4 linked regions of the Caenorhabditis elegans genome follow. The protein of the gene in region 3 purifies or fractionates together with the protein of the main gene of each other region. This does not show direct contact. Each region holds a gene or a part of one and is shown on either strand. Other genes may lie near its edges. The genes, in order: nuo-4, F13E6.1, mpc-2 and asg-1.

Region 1 (5,061 bases), on a different chromosome or scaffold from region 3:
GGGTTGCAGTTTGTTTGTCATAAAACAAAAAATCATTGGCTGAACCTTTTGCTCAAAAAAACAACAGAAATTTTATTTTAAAAACCAATTTTCAAGGAACACGCTCCTATTTTTGTAATTTTTACAGCCACGCGGCCATTGTGAAATCCTGGGAAATGAATGGGAATGGCAGAGCGCGCAACTCTCCTATCGATTAATTTCTGATAGGTTTGTTTGTTGGTGAGCTCAAATAAAAAACAAGAAATTAAAAAAAAAAGGAATTAGCATTTTAAGAAACGAGTCTTTCCAAGAAAAAAAACATTATTTAAAATTGCACGCTTGCTAAAAAGGTTTTAGGCATATTATCGCATTTAAAAACTTTATTAATTTGTTAAGCTGAAAATTTCTGATATAAACTCTTTTTTTAGTACTAGGTCTTTGAATTTCATTTAGGCTACTAGATTAGGAAAAAATCCAAGAATTCAGATTTATTTTTTTATTTTTTGAATGGGTAAGGTACACGCTTTGTAAGTTTTCCTCACAAACATCAAAAAAATCATCTTGGGATTATTTTTGTAAGTTTCTTGCCGCTTTTTGTAAGTTTTCCCGTAAGTTTTGTCTGTAAGTTTGAAGTCTAACACATTTTCTGAATCGCGGGTAAGTGGTTGGGTAAGTAGTCAATTCCGCGAATGACATGGAGGCCTGTGAGCGCTTTTTTGGTAGGTTAGGTAAGATATTTATTGAGTAGACACACAAATCCGTATTCTCTCACCTTATTCCTTATTGAACATAATATTCGAGTATTATTTTCAGCCGCTTACAAAAAAGCTGACGGAATCAAAGTTGATGGTAAACGTCTAGTTGTCGACTATGAAAGAGGTCGTACTCAGAAGACATGGTTGCCTAGAAGACTTGGCGGTGGAAAAGGAGATACTCGTAAAACTCGCGAAGCTAAATCAGTCATTGAAGAACGTGAAATTGCGTCTGGATTTGGAGGTGGGTACGAGGATCGAGATAGAGAAAGAAGTGGTAGTCGGGATAGACGTCAAGATTCTTACCGTAATGGTGGAGGAAATGATCGTGATCGACGAGAATCATCGGGCGGATTTAGAGATAATCGCGGTGGAGGTGGCGGATTCGGTGGAGGGTTAGTTTTTATAAGATTTCGACATCTTATTTGTATTTTTCTTCACTTGTTTTAATTAATATTTTCAGAGGCCGTGATCGTTTCAATGATCGAAGTGGTGGTGGTGGATACGGAGGTGATCGTGATAGAGGAGGTGATAGAGGAGGTGACCGTGGAGGAAGCCGATACAGTACAGGTGGAGGATCCGGTGGTGGATATCGAAGCGGTGGTGGAAGTAGCGGAGGTGGTGGTGGAGGTCGATATGGTGATCGCCGTTGATTCTGAAACCAAAGGCCTTGTGGATTTTCCTCGCTTTTATGTTTGTTTTGTATCCTTCGATCTGAAATTTACCGATTTTTCCTTCTGCTTTCTATCTCGTCCTCTCAAATCATTTTGTATTCCTAAACACTTTTTCAAACCTGAACGGTATCTTCTAATTTATATTTTTAAGTTATTGACTTTTTTCTGCTCAGAAGTTCAACTATTCGAGGGCAGATTCTAATAAAGCTTCAATTGCAATATTTTCTGTAGAATAATTTATTTCTAATGGTTTTCAAACCTATTCTAATATTTTATTTTGTTCATTTTCCAATTTAATCTTATTATCTTGTTCCTTGTTAAGACCATCATGCCGGGTTCCATGAGCAAATTGGGAGGGCTGGCAACCGGTTTGCTGGCCTGCTCCAGATCAGGAGCACTCTCAAATCAAGTCAGAGGAGTTGTTCATAAAAGTCTTCTAAGACTTCCATCTGAACATCCAGAACCATGGGACTATAAGCACAATGGATTCAATTATATTGATGGATTAAAAGACGACACTCGTTCTCATTTCCATCAAAATTCCAAGCTTATCGTTGTTGAAGGAAATATTGGATCCGGAAAGACAACTTTAGCCAAACAACTTGCTGATCAACTCGGCTTCGTTCATTTCCCAGAATTTAGAATGGACGATATTCTCGTCGATCGCTACGGAAATGATCTTCGCAATTATTATAATAAAGTAAATAATAATTCAACCTAACTCTTAAATGTAATATTATTCCAGTTCCCAGCTCGTTACCGTCTTCCAGACATTTCCATGTTCTATAAGAATCCAAGTGGTGAACTCTCAGCTGCCATGCAAGATCGCATTTTCAACTGCCGTTTCGATCAATATCTCAACGCACTTGCTCATATTCTCAATACCGGTCAAGGAGTTGTGCTCGAACGTACTCCACATTCGGATTTCGTTTTTGCCAATGCAATGAGAGATAAGAATTATATTGGACATGAATGTACGTTTATTGTATTCATGAATTTTCTTTCAAAATAATTGTTTCTAGACTTCAAGCATTATTACTTTGTCCGTAAAAATGCTCTTCCTCAACTACATTTCTGGCCTCATTTGGTTGTTTATTTGAATACACCAACCAATAAATGCCTTGAAAATATCAAGAGACGAGGAAACGTAAGCTAGATTTCTCATAAAGATATTCAAAATTTTATTAATTTTCAGACAGACGAAATTGCAACAGTTGACGAGCGTTACTTAAAAACAATTGAGGAGTCTTACAAGGATTCACTTCGTGAATACCGTAATCACTCGAAGATTCTTGCCTATGACTGGACAAAACCAGGAGACACGGATGCTGTTGTTGAGGTAAGGAAAAGTTCGAAATTCTTAAAAGAAAAAAAACATAATTTTTAAAGGATATCGAACGACTTGACTTGGACTTCTTTGAATGGCACAGTGGTGATGTTATGGAAGAGTGGAATACAATTGTTGATTCAGTTGGATGGAATGGATGGAGACAATAGTGAGTTTTTTTTTTGAGAAATATATTCGAGATCATACATTTTCATTGATAAAACGAAACGATTAATTTATTGAAAATACCAACAAAAAAGCCATCAAAATTTTTAGGAAATTTAACATTCTAGGAATTGAAACTGGCCAAAACTTGTTTTTTTTTTATTTTTAAATTTTGCAAACATGGACAGAAAATGATTTCTGCGAAATTGTGTCCCCATCAAGGCAAAAGATTTTTGGTTTTTTTTGTGTTTTTAGCAAAAAAAATGTATTTCGCTTTATTCAAAAAAAAGAGCAAAAAAACACAATTTTTAATTTTGATATACTGAAAGACATAAATTAAAAACAAACAAGTATGTGTTTTTCAGTCAGCGACAGGGTAACAGAATTTTTCGGTTTTTTTTTTGAAAAAAAAATGCAAAAAATGGATTTTTGTAAAAACCACGAAAAAAACGATTTACGAATATCGTAAAAATCTACAGCCCTGATATAACATTGAGAAAGTATTTTAATTGAATTTTAAAAGTTTCATCCACATTGTATAATATATAATATCTTCTAGTGTCACCAATAAATACGATGCCCGTATGCTTGCATTCGATGGAATTCCAAAACACGAAGTTGGAGAGCTGTACACAAATCCACGTGATACTGGACACTTCCTTCACGTAATGCGTAAAGAGGTTCTCAAGTCACCATATGGCTATGGATATATTGCCAAGAATGGTGATCATCAAGCAGGACTCAATGCATGGCACACTGGACACCATCTTCCAGAACCATGGTAAGTTGTTTTCAATATTTGAAATTTAACTTGAAGGTGGAGTAGAGTCAATTTGAAAATTTGCTTTAAGTAATAGAAAATGAACCGAAAATACCGAAAACAAAAAAATTATAAATTTTTTCAATTTTCAAAAATGTTAAAAATTATTTTTGAATTACCACATAAATGAATCATGAATATATGATATTCGGACATTACGGTCTATTTTCTACCATTTGAAGCAAAAATTCGAATAGTCTCCACCTTTGAATTCTTATTTATGTTATTTGCATTTTAAAAAGTTCAAAAGCAACAGCATAAGATTTTTTTTAAAGCTGTACTTTTTAAAAATCCGTATAGCTAAACTTTCAATTTTATAAAAAATTCTTTTTTCGAATTAACATTTTTCTATTGTTCAGGTATGAATACTACTTCCGAGAGGCATACTATGATGATTTGACATCTCACGAGACATCGCTGGATTTGGATTCGGATTCATACGATCCGGATTATGTGCACCATCATCACTAAATCCATCTCTTATTCTCATCGCTCCAAGCTGTTTTTTTTCAGTAGATTTCGTAGATTTTTGTCGTCGTCGTCTTCGATTTTCTGTTTTCGATTTGATTCTTCAATCACAAATCGGTTCGCCTTTTATTATGTGTTAATTCTTTTTTGTATTCATATTTTTATTTTATAGTAAGTAGAGGAAGAATCGATCCGAGAGAAAATTTAATGCGAAAATAAAGGGTTTTTATATTTTTATTGTTTACTTGTATTTTTGTTCTTGGTTTTCTGAACTTTCCTTATTTACTTTTCACCTTTTTGAATGATAAATTACTAGAAATTTGGAATTCAAAAGCTTTTTCGATTCCTTGACTTGGCATAGAGCCAGCACACACCTCATAGAATACACCGGAACCCTGGAGACGCAGAGAAACGGCTAGAGACAATAAAAAGCAAAGAGTGTCCGGAGAAGTTTCTCTGTGCCTCGCGTGGGGTTCTTTTCAGTTTCTCTAGTGATATCTCGATTCACAATACTATCTCACTTTCACAAGACCAACGGGGATACCCCGTGGTCGACAAAGTGGGGGGAGTTGAGAGTGAAGAGACGCAGAAAAGATAGACAAACTGGAAGAAGATGAAGAAAAAGGACGATGTAGAAAAGAGGACTTGCTCTTTTTCAAGAGAAAAAGGACAGCTTCTCTATTCTCTCTATTACCCCACGCACACTTTTCAAATTATGCGTACTTTGGGTTTTATTCATATTATATTGCCACGTTTGGGTTTTACCGTACTACTGAAAATTTATTTTAATCTTTAGAGTCTCTCTAGTGCCGCGAGTGACTCGTGTCGAAAATGACGTCACTGCTGTGTGTGCTCTGTGTTTGTGCTTTTGCTTAG
Region 2 (3,925 bases), on a different chromosome or scaffold from region 3:
TTTTGTTAATATCTCATATTGGTGCTGTCAAACTTTATTTTAACTTGTCTTTCAATGCCTGGAGGTTCTTTTTTTTTGTGTTTTCAGAAAACATTCAGATTTTCATAAAACATTCAGATTTGTTATTAATTGAAAAATCTAAATCAAACTTTTCAAACGCTACAATTTTTCCAATTTTACCAAGATATTCACTTTTTCCATAATTAGTGTTTTTAGTCAGAAGTTCGATTACTACATGTTACTTGAAAGTACTAATTATCATTAATGCTGAAAAGTAGTTATTTAAAAAATTTTTTGACAGTTGTTTGTTATTTGTTCACTTCAGGTATCATTAAATATGATTTCTAACTAAAAGCTCAATTTTCAAAAATCTTGATGAATAGTGTTGAACCAAACAAATTCAAGTTTCAAGAAAATTCAAAACACTATAACTTACTTTTTGCATATCGTAGACCAGTAGTTGATTCAGTGTTATACATCTACTTGTCCATACCAAGAAGTCCCTGCGTCAGGCGGATATTCGATTAGGATATACGCTTCGATACCTTTCTTAAGCAACGCAGGTAGTAGTTTTATGACCGAGCCTTGGTGAATAAAACATAACTTTAATTTTATTTGAAAATAAATTTAAATTTTTTTAAAGTGTTAACGTTTTCCGATTTATTCATTTTTAAAACATAAGAAAAATAAATTTTTGAAGTAATGTTTAAACACAAAATTAATAAATAGGTATGAATACATGTGCCATGCGGATGCGGATTCAGAACATTTCAAAACATTATCGAATACTTTCAGCAGAAAAAGCCGCAATCATTCACAAAGTGGCGATATTAATGACAGGAAAAGAATAGAATGAAGAAAAGACGATTAGATTGAAATATCCCAGTAGTGACGTGTTTTTACAACATATTGGTATGTGAAATGAATGAATTTAAGAGATTGGCTTGGCCTCCTCCGCAACTGGGGTTCCGGTTTGACTTGGACCACGAGCAGCTCCCGCCAAATGATCAATCGATGTTGAAGCAGCCATCTTAGCCTGAAAGCCAAAAATAGTTTCATTTTAGAAACAAATCCAGATAATTCAGAAAAAATTGGAATACTGACGTTGTTGAGGGCAGAACCAAGTTTTGACTCGAAGGATTTGAACAGTGATGAGTTTCTCATGTCATTCCACTTTTCTTTAACTGTGTCAGACGTGGCGGCGGCTACCTCAGCGGTTTTTTGGTATCTGAAATTGTTTTGCATGTTATGCGTGCTTCAACATAAATTTTTTATTAACCATGAGCACTGTTGCCACAGTAATAAACTTTTAAGTATCGAACTTTTTTTTTTTAATACTATAAACTGTATATCAATATATTGCTTTCCATTAACGCAAGTTTACCTAACAGCATGCAAAATTCTTTTTTTTTCACTAGTCAGTATTGGTACTGTTTGAATATTCTTGGACAGTCGTTTAATATAATACATCGATTGTTTCTTTTTTTTTTGAATATTTATTTCAATAAAATGAGTGCACCTCAAAATTCCTTTACAGCTAAAATTTTTCTAAATAGAATACTTACGCGTCGGTATCGGTGACAGTTTTCAAGCTGCGGTTGATGTCCTGAGAGAGTTCCGAGAATGGAGTAAGTCCCAACTTGCGCTTGAGCTCGGCGGCGTGTTTTTGTCTGGCAGATAGGACTTGCTTCAGCGTTGAGATTTCTTCTTCGGTCTGAAATTGATGAAATTTAGTTCACGTTTTTATTTAATAGAAAAATAAACTTACCTTATCCAATTCAGTGCGCAAAAGGTCCTTTTCTGCTTGGGAGAGCACGATTTCTGAAATGTGTCAATTGTAATACTCATTTTCGAAGACATTTCTCTGATAATGCTTACTGTTGCTGCTAGAACTATCATTTTGTGGCAGTTTAGGCTCAACAGTCGGTTGTTCAATTACAACAGCATCTTCATCCGAATCACTTCCTTGCAATTCTTTTGCAAATTTTTCAAGCTCCTCTTTTTTCTCATTAGGTTTCTTGTTTCCCTTTGGCATTTTTCTATCTAAATTCTTGTTTACATTCACTACCAATCGCTAATAGAAAAACAAAGAAAAACGAACAACTACGGGGGACGAAATGAATATGAGTGAAAGGGGTTATAACATAATGTTGTTGAAATACATGATATTTTAAAATCAAAAATGTAGCTGTAACAAATATCAAAAGGAATTCCAAAAATTACGAGCTGTTTTCAAATTTTATCAACTAAAATTTTTTCATGTTAAACGCGCCTTTTTCTGTCAAAATTTCGAGCTCCTTGAAATTAAAATCATATTGCACCAAACTTTTATCATGTATTACACTATTCACAAAAGCAATTAAACATCTACTGAAAGTGGGATGGGCTAAAAATCTGGAAGCATATAGATGCGTAAGAAAAATTATTAACGATTATTCAGAGCGCGGATTAATTCGAATCTTGTAGTAGTTTTGGAGTTGAATTCACTTAGATTTCAAACAAATTTAAAAGAAGATATAAACGACAAAGATGAAAATGTTGGCGATCATAACAAAAACTGTATGAGGGAGAACAGGCAGACACTCACTAACACTCACACAGCGATACGTGTATGGCGGTCGCTCAAATAAACGACCGATCGATATCTGCAGCCCTCTTTCGTTTCCCCCCATCACTGTTTCTACTAGCCCTCCTCTTCACACACGGTCTCTTGTCCACTTGCCTCTGTTGTGCCCACTAGTCATATCTTATTAGTTCATCTATTTAGTTCAGTTGAAAGGGTAGAGTAAAGTAGACGTAATTCGACAGAAAAAATGAATGAGATGGGAGAACAAAGGCAATGAGACAAGGAAGGCATTTGTTTTTTCATCTGTTTCCTTGTATGGTCTTCTTTTTATTTTTTAGTGTGATAAGATAAACTTTCCAGCAAAAATTAAAGGTTTGGATATTAAAGCGGTTATAACAAGACTTATGCTACACAAGAAACAATTGCATGTCAGAAAAAGTTAAATACAGCAGGGGCAAAAACTTTGTTAGTCATAAAAATTCTTGTTTTGATTAAAAATGTAAAACTGTGGCCTGGCAGCTGATTAGTTTTCCAAACGGCAAAGTTACGAAATCGACTTTCGAAACGTCACTTTTCCCCATGCTACACAGAAGACATAGACTTTTCACCTACAAACAAACAGAAGGACTGTTCATACTGACAACACAATAGAAAAGGAAAATGGATGGGGTCACATGACTCAACTTAAAACCAATAAAATTGCAAACAAACCACAACACTACTGCATGTTCATTTTATGTGTATTATTGCGGGGGTGTGTTGAGCAGCGTCTCCTTCTTCTTTGGAGGGTTAGTTGGCTTCAAATGGATGACATGCCAAAATGGAGGAGAAAGAGAAAAGAGGAACATCGAAATAACGGAGGCAAGCAGTGTGGGAGGGTTCGAGTGGAAGAAGGGGCACACTTGCATAAATTTCAAAGAATCACGCAGAGTTTGTTTCGAAGTTGGAGTTTCAGGAAGGCAAAGGAAAATGCAACTCTTTTGTCGATATGACGCCAGAATTTAAGAAGATGAGCATCACAGCACAAGCAAATATGAATGACAGCTATTTTTCTTATTTTCTTGTTACTTCGAAACACATAATGTAGTGCACAAAAGGACGGATGACAAAAGATGACGGAATGAAAAGAGCACGCAGCTGAAGCCGGAAAATATAAAATTGGATTTTAGTGAACTGAAGGATTATGCTTTGAAAACGAAACAAACAGTGAAAATAAACCGATTCCAATTTTTTGGAATTATTTCAGTAAAAGTTTCGAAATTCTCGATTGAATTTTATTCCCACCTCGTGAAAAGTCTTAGAAAAAAGGACATCCAAGTTAAATATTATGTTATCAAATTTTCAAAAAAAAAACACTCC
Region 3 (3,149 bases):
TTTGGCTGAAAATTTGACTTTTTCCGTCTAAAAAGTGCGTTTTACATGAAAATAACGTTTTTTTTCACATTTAATTTAATCGATAATCAGCATTCCAATAATTGCCAACGATGAAATGGTCATTCCAATTTTCTGCTTCCTTGTGGACACCTGCATTTTCTCTCCCATCAACCACCCGACTGTAATTGTTGCGATGAACTGAATCGCATTCACACACGGAACAACAACAGTAACAGGAAAGTTTACAACAAGAGCGTTGAACATTACCTAAAATACATTGTTATTCTATATAACTTGTTCAATGTGTTTTGTTCACCGATCCAGATTGATTAAGAGCGAAAGGGATTGAGAATCTCCAGTTGAGAAAAGATTTCAAAAATCCCAGGATTATTCCATTCTTTTTGTTCTCCAGATCTTTTGAGGCTGCTCTGAGCAATGGATTAGTAGCTCCCCACACAAATCCAACAACGATTATTGATAGAATACATTGGACACCGCATTCCGACATTCAGGAAGCTTAGTGTTTTGTTATTAGGGAAGTTCGAAGCTCAACTTGTGTTAAAAAATAAAAATATTTCTAAGAGTTAATCCACATATGATATCGAAGAAAAGGGTTTAAATTCAAATTTTATTCATATTTATAAATCTTTATTGTATGTATTGTGTATGCCTGTATACAAATCACTCGTTGTCGTTCCTAAATCTTGAAAAATTATGGATTTAATTATGGGTCTCCATGATCTCCTTCGTCTCCCAATCCGGATTTTGATACCTAAATTTTATACATAATTGCAGGGAAATAGAATAAATTTGAATATACCTGTAATGTGCAATTCTACAGAGCTGGGCGAGCCCGGTGCACATGACGAAAAAGTTCACACTACTCAAATAGTAGTTGATTGGGGTGATGACAAGGCAATATCTCGTCCAGATGGCTCCAGTGGCGAAGAGAGCAGAGTTCTGAAAAATTTAGATTTTAATGCATATTATATTGCTTTTTTCGGTAGTTTTCGAGAAGAAAACACTAGAATTTAGATTAGTTAGAAATTTATCTCATTTTCATGTATCCACCTCTACGAGTTTCAAGGAGGACGCGTTTATGCGGAATGGTCTCGCCACGCGCGCCTTTGAGGTTACTGTAGAGATTATCTTCATTTTGAAAAGAAAAACAAACGAGAAGAAAACAACGAGAAAAACCTCTAAAAATATGTAATCAATACATCTACAGTAACCTTAAAGGCACACACACACACCAAATTATCACTCCAGTTTTCGCTGCGGGACCAGAAAACAAATTTCACAAATCCCTACCTGATAAAGAGAAAGCTTATCAGCAGGTCTGGCCAAATCAGCGAGTCCAGCGCCGATAAGAGTCCATTTGATGGTTGGGGCCCAGAAAAATACAGTTTTCGGACCGGCCGCATGATTCCAAGCCGGCTTGGCGAATGCTGGAAGCACCGGATAGACAAATTTATCTCCGGCTTTGCACAGAGCCTGGTAGAGGAGACGATGTGGGCCCATTGAGGTGTATTTGTGGGGCTGAAAATGAAGAAATTAAATTTGATTTCGAAATCTGCGAAGAGAAGAAAAAAGAAGAAATGAGAAAATTGTTAAGAAGAAAAAATATCAAAGAGATCAGAAGTTAACCAATGTTCAGAGAACATAATAGAGTCATCGATGTCTGATTTTTTTTGGTAAAAAATTTTTATTTTTGGTAAGAATATTTTTAAAAAATGCTAGTTTTTCAATTATAGCGACAGGTTCGCACATTTTTTTCGAAAAAAGCGAAAAATATTTTTTTGCAAAAAAAAACCAAAGGTGCGCCTTTAAAGAGTACTGTAAATTCAGATTTTCGTTGTTGAGAAATTTTCATAGATTTTTCTAATTTTTTTCGATTAAAAAACTAAAATATAACAATAAAAGCACATGAAAAAAAGAACATTCCTCAACAACAAAAGTTTGAAATTACAGTACCCTTTAAAGGCGCGCACCTTTTCACATTAAACAAAAATTGTCGTGTCGAGACCTGGTACAGTACTTCTGGCACGAAAATCGAAAAATTTCGCATCTTCTAAGAAACCATATTTGTAAAGTTTCCAAAAAAAAAATCTTGCCACTAATTTCTTCTAAATTTTCGTCTCTCCCCATATTCTTATCAATTCAATCTTTTATCAATCAATCTGTAGAAAATAATCAAAAAGAACTTCAACTTTAAGAAAAATATATTCCATCCTCGACGAAACGCTCATAAAATTCATTTATTTCACTGAAAATTTTGATAGCTTGGAGACGTATAGTAATTAAATGGAAAGAATTAGAAAAGGAAAAAAGAAGTAGAGCTTACATACAAACTTTTAAGAGGAAATGAGGGAGAGAGAGCGGGATTTTCACAACATGTTGTTCTGATGGATTGAGTGGAAAATCACAGGAATTTCAGATATTCACACAATTGGTGAGAGACTGAATGAAAAGGAGAGAAAATAGAGAAAGAGAGGAGAAAGAGAAAAAGCAGGCGACAATATACAGTAAATGATGGTAGTAATAAGAGACAATTGCAATATATATGTAAAGTAAAATTATGGTTCTGGAAGAGAGAAAGGAGACTAGAAAAGTGCCTAACGACATTCGAAAAGAGGAGGAAACATAAAAAAGATTGGTATTCAAACGATTTAGTTAAAACATTCAAAGCTCATTCAAAGAAACATCATCAAAAATTAACAGCATCCAGATCCACCGCCCAATCCTCCCGTCGCATTTCCACCTGGAGAATTTGGTGAGCTTGGAGAGTGCTGTGGTCCCAACTTGATTCCGTTTGCCTCATTGTTAATGTCGAACACGCCTTCTTGAATCTTACGGTAGATCTCTTTGGCAGTGTCGATGAACGCCTCTTCCACGTTGGCAGCCGTCTTGGCAGATGTCTCCATGAATACGAGTCCGTGCTCTCGTGCGAATGCTTCTCCCTCTTCACGTTTCACTTCGCGACGGGCTTCCAGGTCACTGAAAACATTTATTTTATTTTTTTGAATAAAAATGTGTTTATTTGGAAAACCAAATTTCTATAAATTGTTCGATTTTGTAGAGAAATTTTTGAACAATCGATCCTTGAATTTTGCAAAAGGCAACTTGACACTTCACACAGAAAGAGATGC
Region 4 (2,962 bases), 4.9 Mb from region 3:
AGTAATTTTCGTGGCTTGCATCCGTTGGATCTTAATATTTGAATTTCAGAGAGGATATGACGTTGGACGATGATCCAGAGGGAAAGTACACGGTTACTGCTGAAAAGTTGATTGAGACAATGACTGCTGGGGGGAAAGTTAAACATGCTGGAATAACAGAACCACCTAGCAACACAGCAAACACCATCATGTCCGAGTCCTTGGCATCAATTAATGCGAGATACAAGAAGAGTTGTGAAAGAAATGCTGTTTTCATGAATACCTTGCACGGTACTATTGAATTCAACAAGAAACAAGTATCTGTAGATAAAACCCTCTCTACAAGTTCAATAAGCCAGGATGATGCGACCGAGTAAGAATTTCGAAACTGATTTTTCTCTAACGAGTTTTATTTTTAGCGCTCCGAATCAAATCATTTTTGCTCCAACAATCACTTCTCATGTTTTCAAAGGCCGATCTCTGAAAAGACAGTATGCAGTGAAAAATAAGGCACTTGAAACTTTTGAGGAAGATCGGAAGGATTACACTCGAGAGGCTGGAGAAGAAACTAGTGGATTGTAATTTTTTGTATTGAACTAGAAAAATAAAGCCTTAATTTCTTTTATCTAACAAACGTTGAAGAAAAAACACATATTTTCACAAATGAATATGCTTATCGATGTATTAAGCTTCGAGGGCAGCGAGTCTCTTCTTTTCGGCAACCTTAGCCTTTGTATCCTTCGAGACATAATTGGCTGGAACAATGTACCCGAAAATGTAGCGACGTCCAATCATTTCTCCGACAAAGAACCAAAAGACTACCTCGAGGGCAACTGCCGAGTAGACGAGACTTTCCTGAAGTTATTTTTTATTGAGTGTTGTTTCAGCGTGTAACAAATTACCTTGATACTAAGGTTGACATATTGCTTGGTCTCAATAAACTTCTGGAGCTTAGCCCAGTCCGCCTTGATAGCTGGGATGTCAGCAGACCGGGGTGGAGCCAGCTCGTGCTTTCCAACAGCCTTGAGAATAGCGAGACGGCGTGGGAACTGCTGAGCTTGATGACGGTAAAGAGCTCCAAAGGTGTTGGCCAACTTTTCGAAGAAGCTCAGCTTGTGGGTCGCCATCGCTGAAAATTTCGAGTGTGAATGAGAGAATGTGTTTCGAAATTAATAAGGCAATAAAATTGGGAGACGAGGGAATCAATTATTGAATAGATCATTAAAATTTATTTGTTCCTTAAATGAAACTTAATAGAAAGGGAATAATGTTGCCCATGAGTGCTCATTCATTAAAAAAATCCCCCAAAATACAAGCAGCCCGTTTTAATCAAGACAGTAGTATATTTGAATCGTGGTGGGACCCTTTAAGCAATCGAGAAAGAAATCCTTGGTTTTTTTAATTCAGCGAGGCTGTCCGCAGTTGAGCGGCACGGTGTTTGCGGACTTTTACAAACCGTATCTCATTGAGTTCCAAGGCGCCGTGGAAATTTTTTTTGTTTTAATTTTCATGAATGATTAGATTAATTAATATTAAGTCAGTTTTGAACGGTATTTTTGTTCAATTTTCTATAATACTTTCAGATGATAAATCTTCGAAGATTTGTGCACACATCGTGTCGGCTGGAACGAGGAAGAACAGCGTTCTACAACGTTCATCAAAAAGTGGGTGGAAAAAAAAACAAAACTAGCCACAATTTGATATATCATTTTCAGGTCACCGACCCAGCCAAGCAAGATCCGGATTACTTTGAGAAAAAAGCGAGAGAACTGCCACTGGGTGAGTATATTCAAGTACCGAGATATATATCTCTATTAAGTGATTTTCAGATCAAAACTACATCGATGCACTTACGAAGCTTTACTACGAAAAAATTGGCAGTGAACGCGATTTGGGTTTGAAAGCAGCTGATAATTTGGTATGATAATCAAGAGTTTTATAGATATAAGCAATATTCTTGCAGATTCTCGAAAAAACCGAATTCGGATTGCCTCGTATTGAAAAATCGAAAACTCGTGCGAAATATGAAGATTTAGATGTTCTTTCGAATGCTCCAGAGTCTGTCAAAAAGATTTTTAGTGTTGAAATGGCGACGAGAAAAGAGTTGTCACAAGAATGGAAACAAAGTCTTATCAAATCAGTAAGGCAGCATTCTCTCGATGAAAATAGTTTGGAAATGAAAAGTTTGTTTGAGAAATAATCACAAAATATTATCTAAAATTAATTTCAGTTGCCTGGCTAACGGCTTTAATTCGGCATTGGTCTCTTCTTGTTAATGACATTGGACAGGAAACCAAAAAAGTAGTTTAACATTTTAAAAAGGCAATATTTCTAACATTTATTGCAGAAGCCAACATGGCTCACCCATCGAATCTGGCTCGTAATCAATGAACGCCGTAAAGCTCTTCGTATTTTACGTGAACGTAATGAGACTGCATTCGAGAAAACAATTGCCGCTCTGAAAATTTCGTATCATGTACCGAAACAGCCAGCTCATGTGAAAACTAGAAAGGTAAAGTTTGCAAATTGATAACTTTAAACACTAAAAAAACAACAAATTTCAGGCATGGGCCGAAGCACAATTAAAGTTGAGAGTTGAAAATGAAAAAGAGAAGCGATTGGAAGAATTGCACGAAAAGTACGATAAAGAAGTTGAAGAGCATAAAAGAGAGACACAAGAGAAGAGGAAAGCATTGAATAATGAATTGGATAAAGTAAGCAAAATATACACTTTGAAAATACCCTTTTTAAAACTAATTTCTGAAACGTTTCAAATTCAAACGAAATTTCAGCTTGCTCAAGAAATGCGCCAAATTGACGTTATCGAAGGAAAATCGTTTGAAACAGTTGGAAAGTATGAACCAGCTTTAATCTCTTCACTTACTGAAACTGTTATTCATTCAAATCTCTTCTATCATCCACCACCAACTATGACTGAAAAATAATCTCATTTAGAAGTTCAGAATTTTTTTTGTTGTAGTAG

What was found.
Region 1: the proteins of mpc-2 (region 3) and nuo-4 fractionate together in Caenorhabditis elegans (co-fractionation; one large-scale study listed by BioGRID). This does not show direct contact.
Region 2: the proteins of mpc-2 (region 3) and F13E6.1 fractionate together in Caenorhabditis elegans (co-fractionation; one large-scale study listed by BioGRID). This does not show direct contact.
Region 4: the proteins of mpc-2 (region 3) and asg-1 fractionate together in Caenorhabditis elegans (co-fractionation; one large-scale study listed by BioGRID). This does not show direct contact.

Annotation. Positions count from the first base shown.
Region 1 is NC_003281.10:7,155,476-7,160,536, reverse strand, and holds nuo-4 (NADH dehydrogenase [ubiquinone] 1 alpha subcomplex subunit 10, mitochondrial), read left to right. Parts: upstream 1-1,727; 5' UTR 1,728-1,733; coding exon 1,734-2,105; intron 2,106-2,150; coding exon 2,151-2,379; intron 2,380-2,427; coding exon 2,428-2,552; intron 2,553-2,600; coding exon 2,601-2,744; intron 2,745-2,794; coding exon 2,795-2,901; intron 2,902-3,456; coding exon 3,457-3,678; intron 3,679-4,076; coding exon 4,077-4,188; 3' UTR 4,189-4,511; downstream 4,512-5,061. Other genes in the region: rnp-7 (U1 small nuclear ribonucleoprotein 70 kDa), read left to right, coding at 793-1,126, 1,195-1,384.
Region 2 is NC_003284.9:10,675,067-10,678,991, forward strand, and holds F13E6.1 (D52 family tumor protein), read right to left. Parts: upstream 2,044-3,925; 5' UTR 2,036-2,043; coding exon 1,879-2,035; intron 1,822-1,878; coding exon 1,769-1,821; intron 1,715-1,768; coding exon 1,566-1,714; intron 1,229-1,565; coding exon 1,105-1,228; intron 1,037-1,104; coding exon 932-1,036; 3' UTR 646-931; downstream 1-645.
Region 3 is NC_003279.8:3,825,609-3,828,757, reverse strand, and holds mpc-2 (putative mitochondrial pyruvate carrier 2), read right to left. Parts: upstream 1,540-3,149; 5' UTR 1,522-1,539; coding exon 1,312-1,521; intron 961-1,311; coding exon 821-960; intron 773-820; coding exon 721-772; 3' UTR 613-720; downstream 1-612. Other genes in the region: F53F10.8 (Transmembrane protein 234 homolog), read right to left, coding at 76-267, 317-508; unc-108 (Ras-related protein Rab-2), read right to left, coding at 2,715-2,997. UniProt on the Caenorhabditis elegans protein: May mediate the uptake of pyruvate into mitochondria.
Region 4 is NC_003279.8:8,691,092-8,694,053, reverse strand, and holds asg-1 (putative ATP synthase subunit g 1, mitochondrial), read right to left. Parts: upstream 1,109-2,962; 5' UTR 1,107-1,108; coding exon 882-1,106; intron 835-881; coding exon 664-834; 3' UTR 586-663; downstream 1-585. Other genes in the region: K07A12.5 (Pre-mRNA-splicing factor SYF2), read left to right, coding at 1-1, 50-352, 399-561; mrps-15 (Small ribosomal subunit protein uS15m), read left to right, coding at 1,563-1,643, 1,695-1,758, 1,809-1,897, 1,943-2,162, 2,210-2,280, 2,327-2,491, 2,544-2,693, 2,772-2,924. UniProt on the Caenorhabditis elegans protein: Mitochondrial membrane ATP synthase (F(1)F(0) ATP synthase or Complex V) produces ATP from ADP in the presence of a proton gradient across the membrane which is generated by electron transport complexes of the respiratory chain.